Linked DNA regions of Elephas maximus indicus. The protein of the gene in region 1 purifies or fractionates together with the protein of each later gene. This does not show direct contact. Links are inferred from orthologs where the notes say so. Each region holds a gene or a part of one and is shown on either strand. Other genes may lie near its edges.

The links. Proteins that work in one complex are often made in the same cells at the same time.
Region 2: the proteins of EP300 (region 1) and SSRP1 purify together in Homo sapiens (affinity purification with mass spectrometry, with the first as the bait; 3 studies listed by BioGRID). This does not show direct contact. The link is inferred for Elephas maximus indicus from reciprocal best matches to the Homo sapiens genes EP300 and SSRP1.

What each region holds. Positions count from the first base shown.
Region 1 is NC_064822.1:185,258,594-185,266,395, forward strand, and holds the start of EP300 (histone acetyltransferase p300), read left to right. Parts: upstream 1-4,791; 5' UTR 4,792-5,481; coding exon 5,482-5,575; intron 5,576-7,802. UniProt on the Homo sapiens protein: Functions as a histone acetyltransferase and regulates transcription via chromatin remodeling. Acetylates all four core histones in nucleosomes. Histone acetylation gives an epigenetic tag for transcriptional activation.
Region 2 is NC_064825.1:118,746,770-118,754,006, reverse strand, and holds the start of SSRP1 (FACT complex subunit SSRP1), read left to right. Parts: upstream 1-4,222; 5' UTR 4,223-4,357; intron 4,358-4,840; 5' UTR 4,841-4,961; coding exon 4,962-5,015; intron 5,016-5,439; coding exon 5,440-5,625; intron 5,626-6,484; coding exon 6,485-6,590; intron 6,591-6,870; coding exon 6,871-7,061; intron 7,062-7,140; coding exon 7,141-7,237. Other genes in the region: P2RX3 (P2X purinoceptor 3), read right to left, coding at 2,179-2,297. UniProt on the Homo sapiens protein: Component of the FACT complex, a general chromatin factor that acts to reorganize nucleosomes. The FACT complex is involved in multiple processes that require DNA as a template such as mRNA elongation, DNA replication and DNA repair.

The DNA.
Region 1 (7,802 bases):
TTTTGACTGCAATTCAGAGAAGGATTCTTCCAAGTTTAAAAGAGTGAGAAGCAACTCTCCAAAGACTTCTTTCAACCCTATAATTTTATTTTTAAAAAATGAAATAAAGGTCTTGGCAAAAAAAAAAAAAAAAGATGGAAGGAATACACAGAGTCACTATGCCAAAAAGAATCAGTCAACATTCAACCATTTCAGGAGCTAGCGTATGATCAAGGACCACTGGTATTGAAGGAAGAAGTCCAAGCTGAACTGAAGGCATTGGGAAAAACAATGGGAAATACCACTTGAGATGTTTCAACAAACCAACGTAGCACTAGAAGCACTCACTAGCTTCTGTCAAGAAATTTGGAAGACAGCTACTTGGCCAACTGACTGGAAGAGATCCATATTTGTGCCCCATTCCAAAGAAAGGTGATCCAACAGAATGCAGAAATTATTGAACAGTGTTTTTTTTTTTTTATCGTTAATATCACACATAAGTAAAATTTTGCTGAAGATCATTCAAAAGCAGTTGCAACAGTACGTGGACAGGGAGCTGCCAGAACTTCAAACTGGATTCAGAAGAGGATGTAGAACCAGGGATATCACTGCTGATGTCAGATGGATCCTGACTGAAAGCAGAGAATACCAGAAGGATGCTTACCTGTGTTTTATTGATTATGCAAAGGCATTCGACTGTGTGGATCATAACAAATTTTGGATAATATTGGGAAGAATGGGAATTTCAGAACACTTAATTGTGCTCATGTGGAATCTGTATATAGACCAAAAGGCAGTTATTTGAACAGAACAAGAGGATACTGTGTGGTTTGGGATCAGGAAAGCTGTGGTTAGGGTTGTATCATTTCACCATACTTATTCAATCTGTTATGCTGAGCAAATATATGATCCGAGAAGCTGGACTATACGAAGAAAAACAAGGCATCAGGATTGGAGGAAGACTCATTAAAGACCCGTGTATGCAGATGACACAACCTTGCTTGCTGAAAGTGAAGAGGACTTGAAGTACCTACTGATGAAGATCAAAGACTACAGCCTTCATTATGGATTACATCTCAACATAAAAAAAAAAGAAAACAAAAATTCACACAACTGGACCAATAGGCATCATGATAAACAGAGAAAAGATTGAAGTTGTCAAGGATTTCATTTTACTTGGATCCATAATCAATGCCCATGGAAACAACAGTTGAGAAATCAAACGACATATTGCATTGGGCAAATCTGATGCAAAAGACCTCTTTAAAGTGTTAAAAACCAAGTTGTCACTTTGAAGACTAAGGTGCACTTGACACAAGCCATGATATTTTCAGTTGCCTTATACGCATGAGAAAGCTGGACAGTGAATAAGGAATATCAAAGAAGAAACGATGCCTTTGAATTATGGTGTTGGCAAAGGATATTGAATATAGCATGGACTGCAAGAACAGACAAGTCTGTCTCGGAAGAAGTAAAGCCAGAATGCTCCTTAGAAGCAAGGATACTGAGACTTTGTCTCACTTAATTTCGACATGCGGTCAGGAGTGACCAGTCCCTGGAAAAGGACATCATGTTTGGTAAAGTAGAGGGTAGTGAAAAAGAGGAAGCCCCTCAATGAGACGGATTGACACAGTGGCCGCAACAATGGGCCCACGCATAGCAAGGATTGAGAGGGTGGCGAAGGACCCGGTGCTGTTTCATTTTATTGTACATATGGTTGCTGTAAGTCAGAACCAACTTGATGGCACCTAACAACGACAACATCAAATATATAATCCAGGGTGATGATTCAACTCTACTTTTTAAAAGACATCTAAAGTCTCATACTGATTGCATTCATGTGATCCTTATTTCCCCAGCCACTTCCAACATGGCTGACTTCAGGGTAAAGGGCCAGAGGAACAAATCCCAGGGAGAGAGGCAGCATTCATCCTAGTTCCCATGTAGAGAGGAGCCTTCCCTCCTGGCCAGGTCCGTGGCCCTTGACTCCTTCTTTTAGCAGAATTTTCTCCTGTGATATTACTCAGGTCTCCTTAAGCACGTTCTTGTACCCACTCACAGTTTGGCCAGGGCGACCAAACGTTTGAATGCTATTTAGACTCAAGTTGGATCCTCTGCAAAACTAGGCAAATCTTTTTCCTAAGGTCAGAAACTCTTCAAAAAACCAGGTGAATTCCCAAAGCCAACTCTTCAGACAGGGATTGGACTGGACTATAAGACAGAAAATGATACTGGTGGGGAGTGAGCTTCTTGGCTCAAGTAGACACATGAGACTATGTGGGCAGCTCCTCTCTAGGGAGGAGATGAGAAGGCAGAGGGTGACAGGAACTGGCTGAATGGACACAGGGAATACAGGGTAGGGAGGAGGAGTGTGCTGTCTCGTTAGGGGGAGAGCAGCTAGGAGTATATTAAAAAAAAAAAACAAACCCAGTGCCCTCCAGTAGATTCCGACTCACAGCAACCCCATAGGACAGAGTAGAACTGCCCCATAGAGTTTCTAAGGAGTGCCTGGCGGATCTGACCTGCCAACCCTTTGGTTAGCAGCCATAGCACTTAACCGCTACGCCACCAGGGTTTTCCAGGAGTATATAGCAAGGTGTATGTAAAATTTTGTATGAGAGACTGACTTGATTTGTAAACTTTCACTTAAAGCACAAAAAAAAATTAAAAACAAAACAAAACCAGGTGAGCCAAGTTTCCAGGCATCCACATTTTTCCTCTGTGCTCTTCACCATGAATGTGGGTTTAAACTGTTGAAAATAACCGAATCATTCCAGAAAGCCAGTTTTGACCTTACCCCTATATGTCGGATCCATCTGGAAACAACTTTAAGGTAAAGAGGATGCTATCCTTCTTCATTTGTCTGCTTTTCACTACAACTTGGGCGATTGAGGCCTGGATGTCACATCATAGAATTCATTCTTGTGAGGTAATGTGAGTTGCTCCCTTAGAATTTTCCTTCCTAGGTTCTTATTCATTTTCACCCTCATTCATTTAAAAATCAAACAAACAAAAACCACACACACACCAAAAGTAAACCGAATAGTATGAAAATGCCGACTAAAGAGCATGAAATTTGAAAGATTAGAAAAAGCTTTTAAGCATCATCTTGGTAGATAATGGTTTAGGGGTTCCCTTGAGGCCACTTACAAATCTTGCCGCTTCCTCAAGGACCAATTTCCCCAAGGTGAAACACGGGGACCCTGTATTGTGTAGGAATGTGAAACTGTGCGTGCATCCCTCGGCTGCAAAATTGTTCGGTCACACACACATTTTCTTTACTCATATTCACCCATTTCCCCCATCGTTCCATTACTACATTTTTGCTTTTTTATAGAATTGCATTATCTTTAAGACACTGCCTAAATCAAATGTGTTCTTTTATTAAGCTAGTCTTTTTTTTTTTTTTAATTGGGAGTGGGTGGAAAGAAGTACCCCGAAACTTCCTCAGGTACCAGGCGTATTCAGAAAAATAACTTAAGATTCCGAGGAAGACTGTTGCCTAGTAGGGGCGAGTGGACACGTGCTGGAGAAGAAATGAATTTGCGTCTGGTCCTAAAACATCCTTTTACTGCTGTGATTTCTGCTGATTATCAATATATCCTCGTTGCAAAAAAGAAGGGGGGCGGATACAGAGAGAAAATGGAAAGCACCCCGCATCAGTGTGATTTTGGGATGTGAACTGCTCCCCTCCGGACAGGTGATGGAGGAGAGTGCGGACGCACTGGGTGTATGGCCCGGAATACCGGGTAGCAGGGTACGCTCTTGCTTGGTGGATTCAAGGGAGGTAAGGCCGACTGGCCGCTCACGGGCCCAGGGAGCAGGGCCATCCCCATGGGCGCTCCTATTAAGCCACCTGTGCAATGACTTGGCGCCTTCCCTGGCGTAACTCCTGGGCTCCGTCACTCCTGGTTCCCACCGGTTCCTACGCACAGACCCAACCCAGGAACCTTCCCCCGTAACTGTCCACCGACCGAAAATAGATTCCGAGTTCGCCCTCTTTCCCCCACCCCCCCCCTTAAAATCCTCCCCTTTAAAGGGAGCCACCGGGTGACGCCGGGGGAGTTTGCGGAAGCGCCAAGCGCGTTGAGGCCCTGGGCGGGTCCCGTGATTGGAACTGACCCCGCCCCCGGCTCCTCTTCCCCCATTGTGTGAGCCTCTAGGGCCTAGGCCCCGCCCCTCGCCCCCTCCCTCCCGGGCCCCGCCCCGCCCCTTTTTTCACCCCCTCCCTTGGCTCATTTCCGGCGCCGCTGCTACCGCTAGCCCGTAAGGAGGATTCGGCAGAGGGAAGAAACAACAGCCGCCATCTTGTTTGTGTGCTAGGCTAGGGGGGAGAGAGGGCGAGAGGGAGCGGGCGAGAGTGGGCAAGGAGGACGCCGGGCTGAGTGCGAGCTGCGGGAGCCAGAGAGTGCGGAAGGGAGCCGGGCCGGAGAGAGGCGACAGGGTCGAGACAGTGGCAGGGGGCCCGGGGCGCACGGCCTGGGCGACCCCTCGCCCCCTCCTGCCCGCACACACCCCCACCGCGGCCGGGAGCCGGGCCGGCGTCGACGCCTAGGGGGGACCATTACATAACCCCGCGCCCCGCGGCGCCTTCGCCCGCCGCCTAGGGCGGCCCGAGTGGAGCCTCGGGGGGCGGGCGCTCCCGGCCCCGGCCGTATTTATTTATTTTCCGCGGGAAGGGAGGGCAAAGGAGGCGAGCGCGGCGCGAGGAGAGGCCGCCTGCGCCGCCCTCCGGAGCGGGCCTCCTCGGTGGGTTCCGCGTCGGGGCGGGCGAGCGCCGCTGCTCGGCCCGGCCCCCTCGGCTCTCTGCGCCGGCGGCTCAGCGCCGGCGTCCTAGCTGCGCCTCCGCCGCCCGGCCGCCAGCGCCCGCCGCGCGATGTGAGGCGGTGGCGCCAGCCTGGCTCTCGGCTCGGGCGGGCTCTGTGCGGCCATTAGGGGCCGGTGCGGCGGCGGCGGCGGCGACGCGGAGCGCGGCGGCGGGAGGAGGGCTCGGAGGGTGGGGGCGCAGGCCCGGGAGGGGGCACCGGGAGGAGGTGAGTGTCTCGCGTCGCCTCCTCCTCTCCCCCCCTTTCGCCCCCGCCTCCTTGTGGCGATGAGAAGGAGGAGGACAGCGCCGAGGAGGAAGAGGCTGATGGCGGCGGCGCTCCGAGAGACCTCGGCGGGGCAGGGGCCGGCCGTGGCGGGCCGGGGACTGCGCCTGTAGAGCCGCGCGTTCTCGGGAGTCGGCCGCGGCGGACGCGCTCGGCGGCTTCGTGCTCTGCGCCTCCTGCGGGCTGGGCCCAGGCCCGGCCCCTCGCACTTGCCCCTACCTTTTCTGTCGAGTCCACATCCCTCTTCGGCCGCCGCGAGCCGGCGGAGAGAAAAAGGAACTTCCCCCACCCCTTCGGGTGCCGGCCGAGCCCCCCAGTCCCACCCCAGGGAGCGGGGCGGGGGCCCCGGGCCGAAGAAGAGATTTCCCGAGGATTCGCCTTTTCCTCGCTTGTATCTCCGAAAGAATTAAAAATGGCCGAGAATGTGGTGGAACCGGGGCCGCCTTCAGCCAAGCGGCCTAAACTCTCGTCCCCGGCCCTGTCGGCGTCGGCCAGCGACAGCACAGGTTAGTCTCGGGCCCGGCCTTCCCCGGCCCCTCGCACCTTTCTTCTTCCATCTTTGCTTCCTTTCTCTCTCGCCCTGGTAGCCTGCCTCTTGGCCCGAGTCCGTCGCAGAGGTATCTATCTGAATGAGCTGGTCGGAGGCGGCCGGGAGCCCTACCATTTTCTTTGCCTCCTAATCCATTCGTTGCAACACTCTGTGCTATCGATGTGTGTTCTGGAATTAGAGCTCGGAAGTGGGTGCTGTAGAGAAATGGCCTTTATTGTAGCGCCCATGCAGTTTTAGTTTGGGGAAATGCCAGCGCGTTTGTGTGCAAGGGCTTTTTTTTTTTTTTTTCCCCGGATTTTAGTTTTAATTTTTTTTTTTTGATGGTGTTAAACGAGAAATCGCGAATCCTTTCTCCTTGGTTGCACTCATTCTGTTTCCTCTACTTTCCACTCTTCAAGATTTCCTCTCCTTTGCACAAAGATTTTCTGCGGAGGATTAGGGCGTGAAAAATCGTGGTTTCTTTTAATTTTTAATTTTTGTGTGTACGATTTTGGATTTCAGGTTTAACGAGAGGTTTAACAAAAATTGGTCTGACCTACTATTCTTAGGGTTTTTTTGTTTTGTTTTTTCTTTTTGCTCTGAGAGTCAATATGGAGCGCAGTTCATTTTACATCTCCCATTTTTTTGTTGCGAGGCCAAAATGTCTGAAACTCTGGGTTTCCTCACTTGGGAGGAACAGAGATATTTTTGCAGTTTGTATTCACTTTCTCTTTTGGGGGGAAAGAAAAAAAATAAAGGATTTTGTGGAGTTATGTACCTGGAAATCAAGGATAGAAGTTGAAAGAGTCCCAATCTGCAACAAACATGAACCGATTGTACAAAAGTGAAAAATGAGGTTTGGGCCTGGGGGCGGGGGGGTTGTTCGTATTCTCTCTTTTTTTTTTTCAACCTTTTAAGCATATTCAGAGATTGAGATTTTAGTTTGAAAGCCCTGCAAATTCTTTACTCAGTTGTGGACTAGTCTTTTGTCGTGAGGATTCAGGAATACTTGTCTGCCCATCGCCCCTTTCTCTCCCTTCTCACAGCTAGTTTCGTGGTGCTGTCCTGATGGTCACCGGCCTTCCCGTTCACTGCCGTAGTTGTTTGAGATGCCAGGATAATGAAGAGGGAGAATGGCTGGCCATCTGACAGTCCACAAGATGTTCCCCTTACTACGGAGCATCTCTTTAAAAACTCCCCAGAACAGGCTCAACGTCATCCCTCCATCTGCCAGTGAGAATGCATAATGGAGTTAAATGTACCCTTTGAGTTTGTAGAGAACTTCCAGAGCATGTTTCTTACGAGGCTGCATTTCCAGGAGTGAAAATGTGAGGAAATGGCAAATGCTTTGAGTTTCTTTGCTCTTCGGAGAAAGATGCTATATGACAAGTTTAGGATAACCTGCAGTTTTGTTTTGTTTTTTAAGTAGGAATCATGCAGAGTTCCTTCACCTAAGGCTTGTAACATTGGCGCTGCATGAACTTTGTTCTGTTCTTATGCCCTGAAGTTTCTGTAGTCTTCAGGGATTTTTTTTTTTTTTAAGCCTCCCTCCCCCTGCCCCGAATTTTTATACATACACACATACAGAGTTTCTCGTTGCAGCTTACTAAAGTGTCATTTAGAAGGATTTTTTAGACCACCTTTAGACATATTTTCACATGTAGATTTTTGCGTTATCTCTTTAGTCATTTTCCATTTTTGTGTGATGTGGTCATGGATTTTACATTGGAGTTGGCTAAGTGACTTTGGGATAGTGTAGGGGTAAACTTTGCTTTAATTCGATGAGTCCTGATTGAGCAGTTTAGTCTTGGAGTAAATGCAAGGCCCAAAAGGAAGGATGTGCTCTGATGTTCAAAACTTCTCTTCAGGTGCACTATTGCATTCTCCCTGCACTGTGTACTTGGACATGTACGTCTCACTCACCTGGCTAATACATAAAAACCCTTCTGTTACTTGGAATATGTAGGAGTTCTGAGTGTATGAAATGGCTTTTTTATTATAAAAAATTATTTTTGTAATAAGAAATAAACCCTTAACATTGAGACTAATTCAGTCACAATTAGCACTAACAGTTTATCTTAATGTTATTTATTTTTCTCTAAATTTCGTAGTGAGAGTTATTATTTTTCTCTGTTCTGAAGAATTCTGTTACAGGAATTCTTTAGGATACAAACCAGTTTGGGGTTTTTGTTGGGGGAGAGGTG
Region 2 (7,237 bases), on another chromosome or scaffold:
TTCCCTTTGTAGAGATGTTTTTTTTCTGCCTTAGACTCCCTTCATTCCCTTTCTTCACCTAGATTCTTCCTATTCATCCTTCAGATCTTGACTTAGACATCGCCTCCCCCGGAAACCTTCCTTCAGTCCCCTGATCAGGTCAAGTACCTCCATGTTAGCAGTGCTCCTAGAACTCGGCACCTGTTCTTCAAACCCTGAACCATGGTTGAAATTTTACGTTTGTGGAGATTATTTGATTGACGTACATCTCTTGAGTTCATCTCTTGCATTATACTGTAAACTCCACAAGGATAAGGACCCTATCTATTTTTGCCTCCCATTCTATCCTCGGTTCACAATACCTAAGAAAGACTGCAGACATTTTTTTGCTAAATTAAGGACAATGGATTCCTGAAGTCATGGTGTTCACGGGTTTCTGTGCATGCGGATGGGGTTCCGGCAGGGGGTGGGGATGCAGAGCGCATTGATGTAACTGGAAGGAGCTGCTCCGTCGGGAGCTGTCAGGCTGCGAAATGGATGGGGTTGGATATCAAGATGCCAAAGAGCCTCTCCTGCTCGCTCCTGCAGGCTGGGCTCCAGCCCGGAGTATCAGATTGTGATGAGGAGAGACAAGGGCAGGGGGCCAAGAGGGCTGGTCCAGGAGCCGTCTGTCTCTATCTTCCATCTATCTCCTGCCTGAGGCCAATGGAGGTAGGCCAGTCCCAGAATATGCTGAGGCAGTTTTTGCAGTCACCTGGACCAAAATACCATCTCCTGGGTATACACAATTGCACAGTTGCATATACACACGAACACATAACGTTGAAGAACCAACGTTGGGTTGGGCTTTGGAGATGTAGACATGGAACATTTGCAAACATCATTATCTCACAACACCTCAAAGTTGCAAGGGAACCTCAAGGACATTTCATCCTTCCTTACACCTGAATCCCTTCTCTAATGTCCAGATGTACAGCCTTGTCTACAACATCCATATAACCAAAGCTCGCTGGCTCTCACAAGCACGCGAAGCAAAAAAAATCACTTCGTACACATCTACATGGCTTTCCACACACAGCCTCACACATTATCCCAATCTTTTGGGCAAGCAGACTCACTCGCATGAAGATTCCAGCCCACGTGCACACAGGAGTCCCATCTGACTTTCTTGAATGAACTCATGGCAGTTAGGCACCAGCTTGCTGCCTCTCCCACACAGACCCATTGTCTCAGGGAACAGCACGAGACTAGAGACACGCATATCAGAAAAGAAAACCCTTGAGGGGATTTCCTGGTGCCCACCAGTTTGTGGAAACGATCACGAGAAGGACAGATGCTGTGTTTCTTCCCCAGCCATTGTCTGCTCCATGGCCCTTTGTGTGTGGGGGAGCCTCCAAGAGGTGGGGGCCCAGAGGGGGCTCTTAAGCAACTCCCAGGATGGGCTATACAGCACAAACTCAGGTATAAGCAGGGACTTTATGCTTTCTGGCAAAGGGGAGCATTTCTAGATTTTTCGGGAGGGACTCCACACTATTTTCAGGAAAGTCACTTTTCTCTTCCACTCTTCTCTCGAGTATTATTTGTGCCCATGTTTCTCCCCCATACCCCAAGGGGCAGTTACCCCAGCTTTATCCTACTCTCCAAGAGTAGGGGCTTCTCCCCTTTCCAAGCTCTCTCACCATCTCCCCCATGCTAGGAGGGCAATCTCTCTCTTCTAAATGGACCCTTCCCTCCCAACTGACCCTCCGTTCCACCCTGCCACCAACCTGGTCAACTTGTCACTATCTCCCTTGTTTAAGGGTCTTCCCCTCCCCCTTCCTGGGCTCCCTTATCTTTTGAGACCCCAAATAGTTGACCAAGGGGAATGAGAGGATGTAAAGGGGGGGGTGGTCTGCCTGTTACCTAAGGGGCAGATAAGGGAATGGGGGAAGACAGATGGATCACCAGGGATCTCTCCTGGTGGAGGAACCCACTCCTCAGAGTGTGTGTCTAGGAACCGCTCTCCAACCCTGGAGGATTTACTGGGGTAAAGAACCCACCTGGGGACCAGATCCTGGGTGGGGGTGGCAGAGGCCAGTCCTTTAGGGCATGGCTCCCCAGAAGAAACTGTTTCCCCCCAGAGGGGAGACGCTCAGAAAGCTGGACAGGAAACTTTCAGTTGGTCCTCCCCTCCTAGGACCTCAAGGGCCACACACTCACCCCACAAAGTAAGAGATGATCAGAAGCTGAACAGCCCGGTTGATGATCCCAATAGTCCAGCTCTTCACAACCACCGACTTGGTGGTCTCATAGGTGAAGAAGTCTGATATGCAGTTCATGCTGAGGGTGTGCACAGGGGCCACCCAGAAGGAGCCAAACAGCAGCCTCAGGAGGGAGGGGTCTTCAGGGCAGGGAGACAGAGATGGTGGCCTGGATGGGGCAGCTGAGAGAGGGTTGGGGACGGGGAGCCTGTTCTTTTAAGCCCAGTGCCCAGGCTCTCTCTGCTATTGACAATCTGGGCTGCCAAGAGTCTAGGGCCAGGGCGGAGGACCCCCTTTTTGTTTGTCTCCACCCCACTCCCCCGTGATGTCACGGCAGGGGTGGGTCTCCAGTCCTGGGCTCCTGATTGCCTGGGATGCAGCTGGCTAGTAGGGTCCTCTGGGACTCATGTTTTATCTGCATTCTGTCTACAGTTTCTGTTCCATTCTCCTTCACTGCAGCTCACCGCTTTCTCTAAAGCCCCTTGCAATGTCCCATCCCCCAGCCACTTCACAGCCTCCCTTAGCTGAGTAGCCCCTTCATTCCTGAGTGTATGCCTAAAGCTACCCAATTCTGCAGCCATCCCCTGCCTTCCCAGTTGCCTCCAATAGCATGGGATGGGGGCGGGGGGAGGGTCTCTTGCACGGTCTCTTGGAAGGGAGTGAGTACAGAATCACACATTTCTAACTCCAGTTGGCAGTAACTGAAGCTTTACCTGTAGCATGGCAGTTATCACATTTTTTTTTTTTTTAGTATGTGAATCATTCATTAGATTACGTGTTCCTGGAAGGTTGGGGCTACTTCCATCTTGCTCACCAGTTTGCTGGAAGCCTAGAAACATGTTGGGTTAATAATAAGCCCTTATATTGGATTCAATTGAATTTATGTTTCTAGATTGTGCTGGAACAGCCACTACACAGAAGTTAAAGGTATGAGTTCAGGTGGCATTGGTGCATTCCTGTCATCTCAATCCCAGGACAGAGTGAGCAAGCTAGCTGTTTTCAGTCAGATTGTTAGGGAAACCTTGAATTTAAATATTCTGTCCTAATGGGTTGTTATGAGTTGAAGTCCTCGACTGCAACAACTTTGGTTTTTTCGGTCCTAATGTCATGCAGGGCACGTTATCAAGTATTCTGAATGCAGCATCACTGTCATTATGACTGACTGGACTGGGGTAAGGAGATCTGGGTTTTAGTCTCCAGCTTCCTCACCAGCTCACTGAGACCTTAAGAACTCCTTTTGGGGCCTCGGTTTTTCTAACTGCAAAAGGAGGTTGGATTAGATGAACTGAAACATCTCCTCCCGGTCTGGTCTCTGATTTTGCAACATGCACCTTGGGACTATATGAGAAGGGCCTAGCTTTCGCAATCCGGGACTGATGGGGTTTCAAATCAGTTCCGGCTCCAAGGTGAATCTGACACCAGCACTTGAACTTGATATGGCCGTTTGCCAGCCTCTTCCAGGAGAACATAAATTGCAGTTATGGATGTGAGGTTTTCGGGTGCAGGCAGTGAAGTCACTTCAAAAAGGGACCAATCCCACTTGACAGGACACAGCTAGAGAGCAGTACGGTCACAAGGACACCAACACCAGCATTCTCTTTGCATCTGGTGGGAAGGGTCATTTCTCTCCATGAGCTTTAAATATTTTTCTGCTTCTTTCACAGACTCTTTTGTACTCCACAGAAACCCCTACTGTGCAGGAGAGAGATAGGGGCATGCATCGTTCCAACACAGACACACACGTGTGTGGAGAGTCTGATGAAGTAAAGCTCCACAACTTCCCTTTAGAACCTAGTCCTCCACGGAAAGGGTGTCTGTAGCTTTCTAAAGACCCCATGTGCCTCCCTTTTCTAGTTGAATTCCACGGCGTAGGGCGCGCCGACGCACTGCGCCCTCACCTCCCACAGGTCCTCCCGAGCTGGGGACGCTCTATGTGACCGCCTCACAGGCGGGCCTGGATCGCGCCCCTCTAGCCGGCTCCTCCTCTCTATGTTCTGTGCGCGGCTTCCGGTGGCGGGACGCGGGGACGCGCACGCGGGAAAAGCATCCTCTGCGTTTCCCCTACCCCCTTCCCCCCTCTTGCGTCCCCCAGCGCGCCCACCGCCCGTGCCGGGGCCCTAGCGAGGCTAGAGCTTGAGGTAGGTGGCCGTCGACCTCGTGCCCCAGGAGGTCGCGGGCCTCGCTCCCCCGCGGGACTCTCCGGATGGTTCGTTCCGCGTTCGAATCCGCGGGAAGCGGGCGATTCCATTTTAGGAAACGGGGGGAGCCGTGGGGCTGGGGCGGCAAGGTGGGAGCGCTGGAAGGGAAACCCTGCATCCTGAGCTGTGATGGGGGGAGGTGCAGGCTCCGAGCAGACTTTGGGGTTCTGCTGCTCCTTGCCATGGTGCCCAGTGGGGCGCCCAAGCGGATGTTTGGTTGGCGTGTAAGCACTGTTCTAGGCCCAGTTCCCCAGCCGAGTCTGGGCCTTGCCCCTGGAGCTGTGCACAGTCTGCCCGTGGGGGCTCCCAGGCGGAGCAGATCCTGAGACATCACAGGCGCAGCCAGGGTTTGCCACTTGGTTCCAGTGGAGAGCATAGTGAGGTGTTGTCTCCTATGTTTATCTATCCCCCTCTTGAATTCAGATCCTTAACCTGCTGAGCATCTATACAACCACCAAGGAGTTGGGGCCCAGCTCCCATTTTCTCCTGTTCCCCCTTGTGCAGCCTAGGGCCCTGTGCCCAGGCCAACAGGGGCCAGGTCAGCATGGCAGAGACACTGGAGTTCAACGATGTCTATCAGGAGGTGAAAGGCTCCATGGTGAGAAGGATTGGGCTTTTAATACAGGGGGAGGGAAGGGGAGGGAAGTAGCGTTCTTCTATTAATAAGAGCTTGCTTTGATGACGTTACTAGTGTGGCAAAGGAGGACTCAGAATATTATATGTACCTGGTGTTTCCCCAACAAAAGGCAGTACTGAGCAGAATTCCTAGAGTAAAAGGATCGCAGCCTAAGAAGGCATCTTAGATGCTGTTCAGTCCCAAGTCCTTGTTACAAATGAGGAAACTAAGTACCTGCAAGGGTTCTGGGTGCCAGAGTCAGGATTAGAACCCAGGCTTCTTACTGGCCCTCACCCCTTCAGCTGTTGCTCCTACATTGATACCCCGCCAGCCCACCAGCCGCAGAATGGGGCATTGGTGAGACTGCACATTACCATCTGTACCTCTGGGCCTATTTTTCTGACAGAATGATGGTCGACTGAGGTTAAGCCGCCAAGGTATCATCTTCAAGAACAGCAAGACGGGCAAAGTGGACAACATCCAGGCCGGGGAGTTGACAGAAGGCATCTGGCGCCGTGTTGCTCTGGGTCATGGACTTAAACTGCTCACAAAGAATGGCCATGTCTACAAGTATGACGGCTTCCGAGAGTCGGTGAGCTGCCCTGTTGTGATAAATCCCGTTTTTGCTGTGCTGTTTTGTTTGTTTTTAATCTTTTGGAGAGAATTGGGCATCCTTTGTCTGATAACCATGTAATTGCTATTTTGGGCTCCTTAGAGTGAGGCCAGAGGTTCCTAAGTGGTGCAGACTGTCTGTGCTTGACTACTAACCCAAAGGTTGGAAGTTTGAACCCATACAGCTGTGCTTCAGAAGAAAGACCTGGCCATCTGCTTCTGTAAAGATTACAGCCTGACAAACCCTGTGGAGCAGTTTTAGTCTGTAACACATAGGGTCTCCTTGAGTTGGAATTGAAGGCATTGGGTCTGGTTTTGACATTTAGGGTGGGGCCGTCAAGGACACCAAGCAGTCAGTACTCAACCTTGGGTATTGTGTCTTTGTGCCTCAATTCCAGAAGATGTTCTCTTTTGATTTAGGTGATGGCTGCTCTCACTCACTGCCCTTATTCAGGTTTAGAATCTTAGCTTGATGCTTTAGTTTTAGTTTTGATTTTCCATTTTGATTTGCTTCCTAACCAAGACTTTTCCTCGTTTTAATCTTTACTTTTACTAAGGTGATATCCATACTGAGTTTAAAAAGTCTGATAGCACTGCCAGGCTCATAACCAGGAGTATCAGTGCCTAGCTTTACCCCTCCCCCAGCATGAGATCCGTTCCCCAGAAGTAGGTTCTTTCAACATTCTTTAAAACTCTTACTGCTGAGACTGAATCAGCGTAGGTTTCTGATAAAGAGTATATTAGGGTAATTTCTCAGAGATAGATCATTCCGGGACATTCAAGTCTGTTTAGGAACACTGGGGTTTACTGGGCTCAATCTCTCTCCCTTCCACCCACAGGAGTTTGAGAAACTCTCTGATTTCTTTAAAACTCACTATCGCCTTGAGTTAATGGAGAAGGACCTGTGTGTAAAGGGCTGGAACTGGGGGACGGTGAAATTTGGCGGTGAGTCCTGGGTAGAATGACGTTTGGGGGAAAAGGTAGGATGAAGGCGTATAGCCTTTAACTTGCTTGGCTCTCTTTCCTCCTCATTGTCTCTGGTTTCCTATCAGTTTGTGTGTTGTTTTTGCATTTATTGAGCACCTCCTAGTACATCAGGCATTGGGGTACAGCGTGAACAGAATAGCCCCAGTGCTCTGACCTCACATTACTTACAGTCTGGTGGGGACGTTGTTCATGCAGGCTCCAGGGAGGAGCTTGTGACTTGATAAGTCCTCCCCCACAGGACAGCTGCTTTCCTTTGATATTGGTGACCAGCCAGTGTTTGAGATACCCCTCAGCAACGTGTCCCAGTGTACCACAGGCAAGAATGAGGTGACACTGGAGTTCCACCAGAACGATGACGCAGAAGTCTCTCTCATGGAGGTGCGCTTCTACGTGCCTCCCACCCAGGAGGATGGTGTGGACCCCGTTGAGGTGAGCCCTCCCCTGGATTCCTTGGGGGCGGGTGGTGCTGAGTGGGCCTTGCCACCCAGTAACCAGTATGCTTTTGCAGGCCTTTGCCCAGAACGTGCTATCCAAGGCAGACGTGATCCAAGCCACAGGAGACGCCATCTGCATCTTCCGGGAGCTGCAGTGTCTGACTCCCCGTG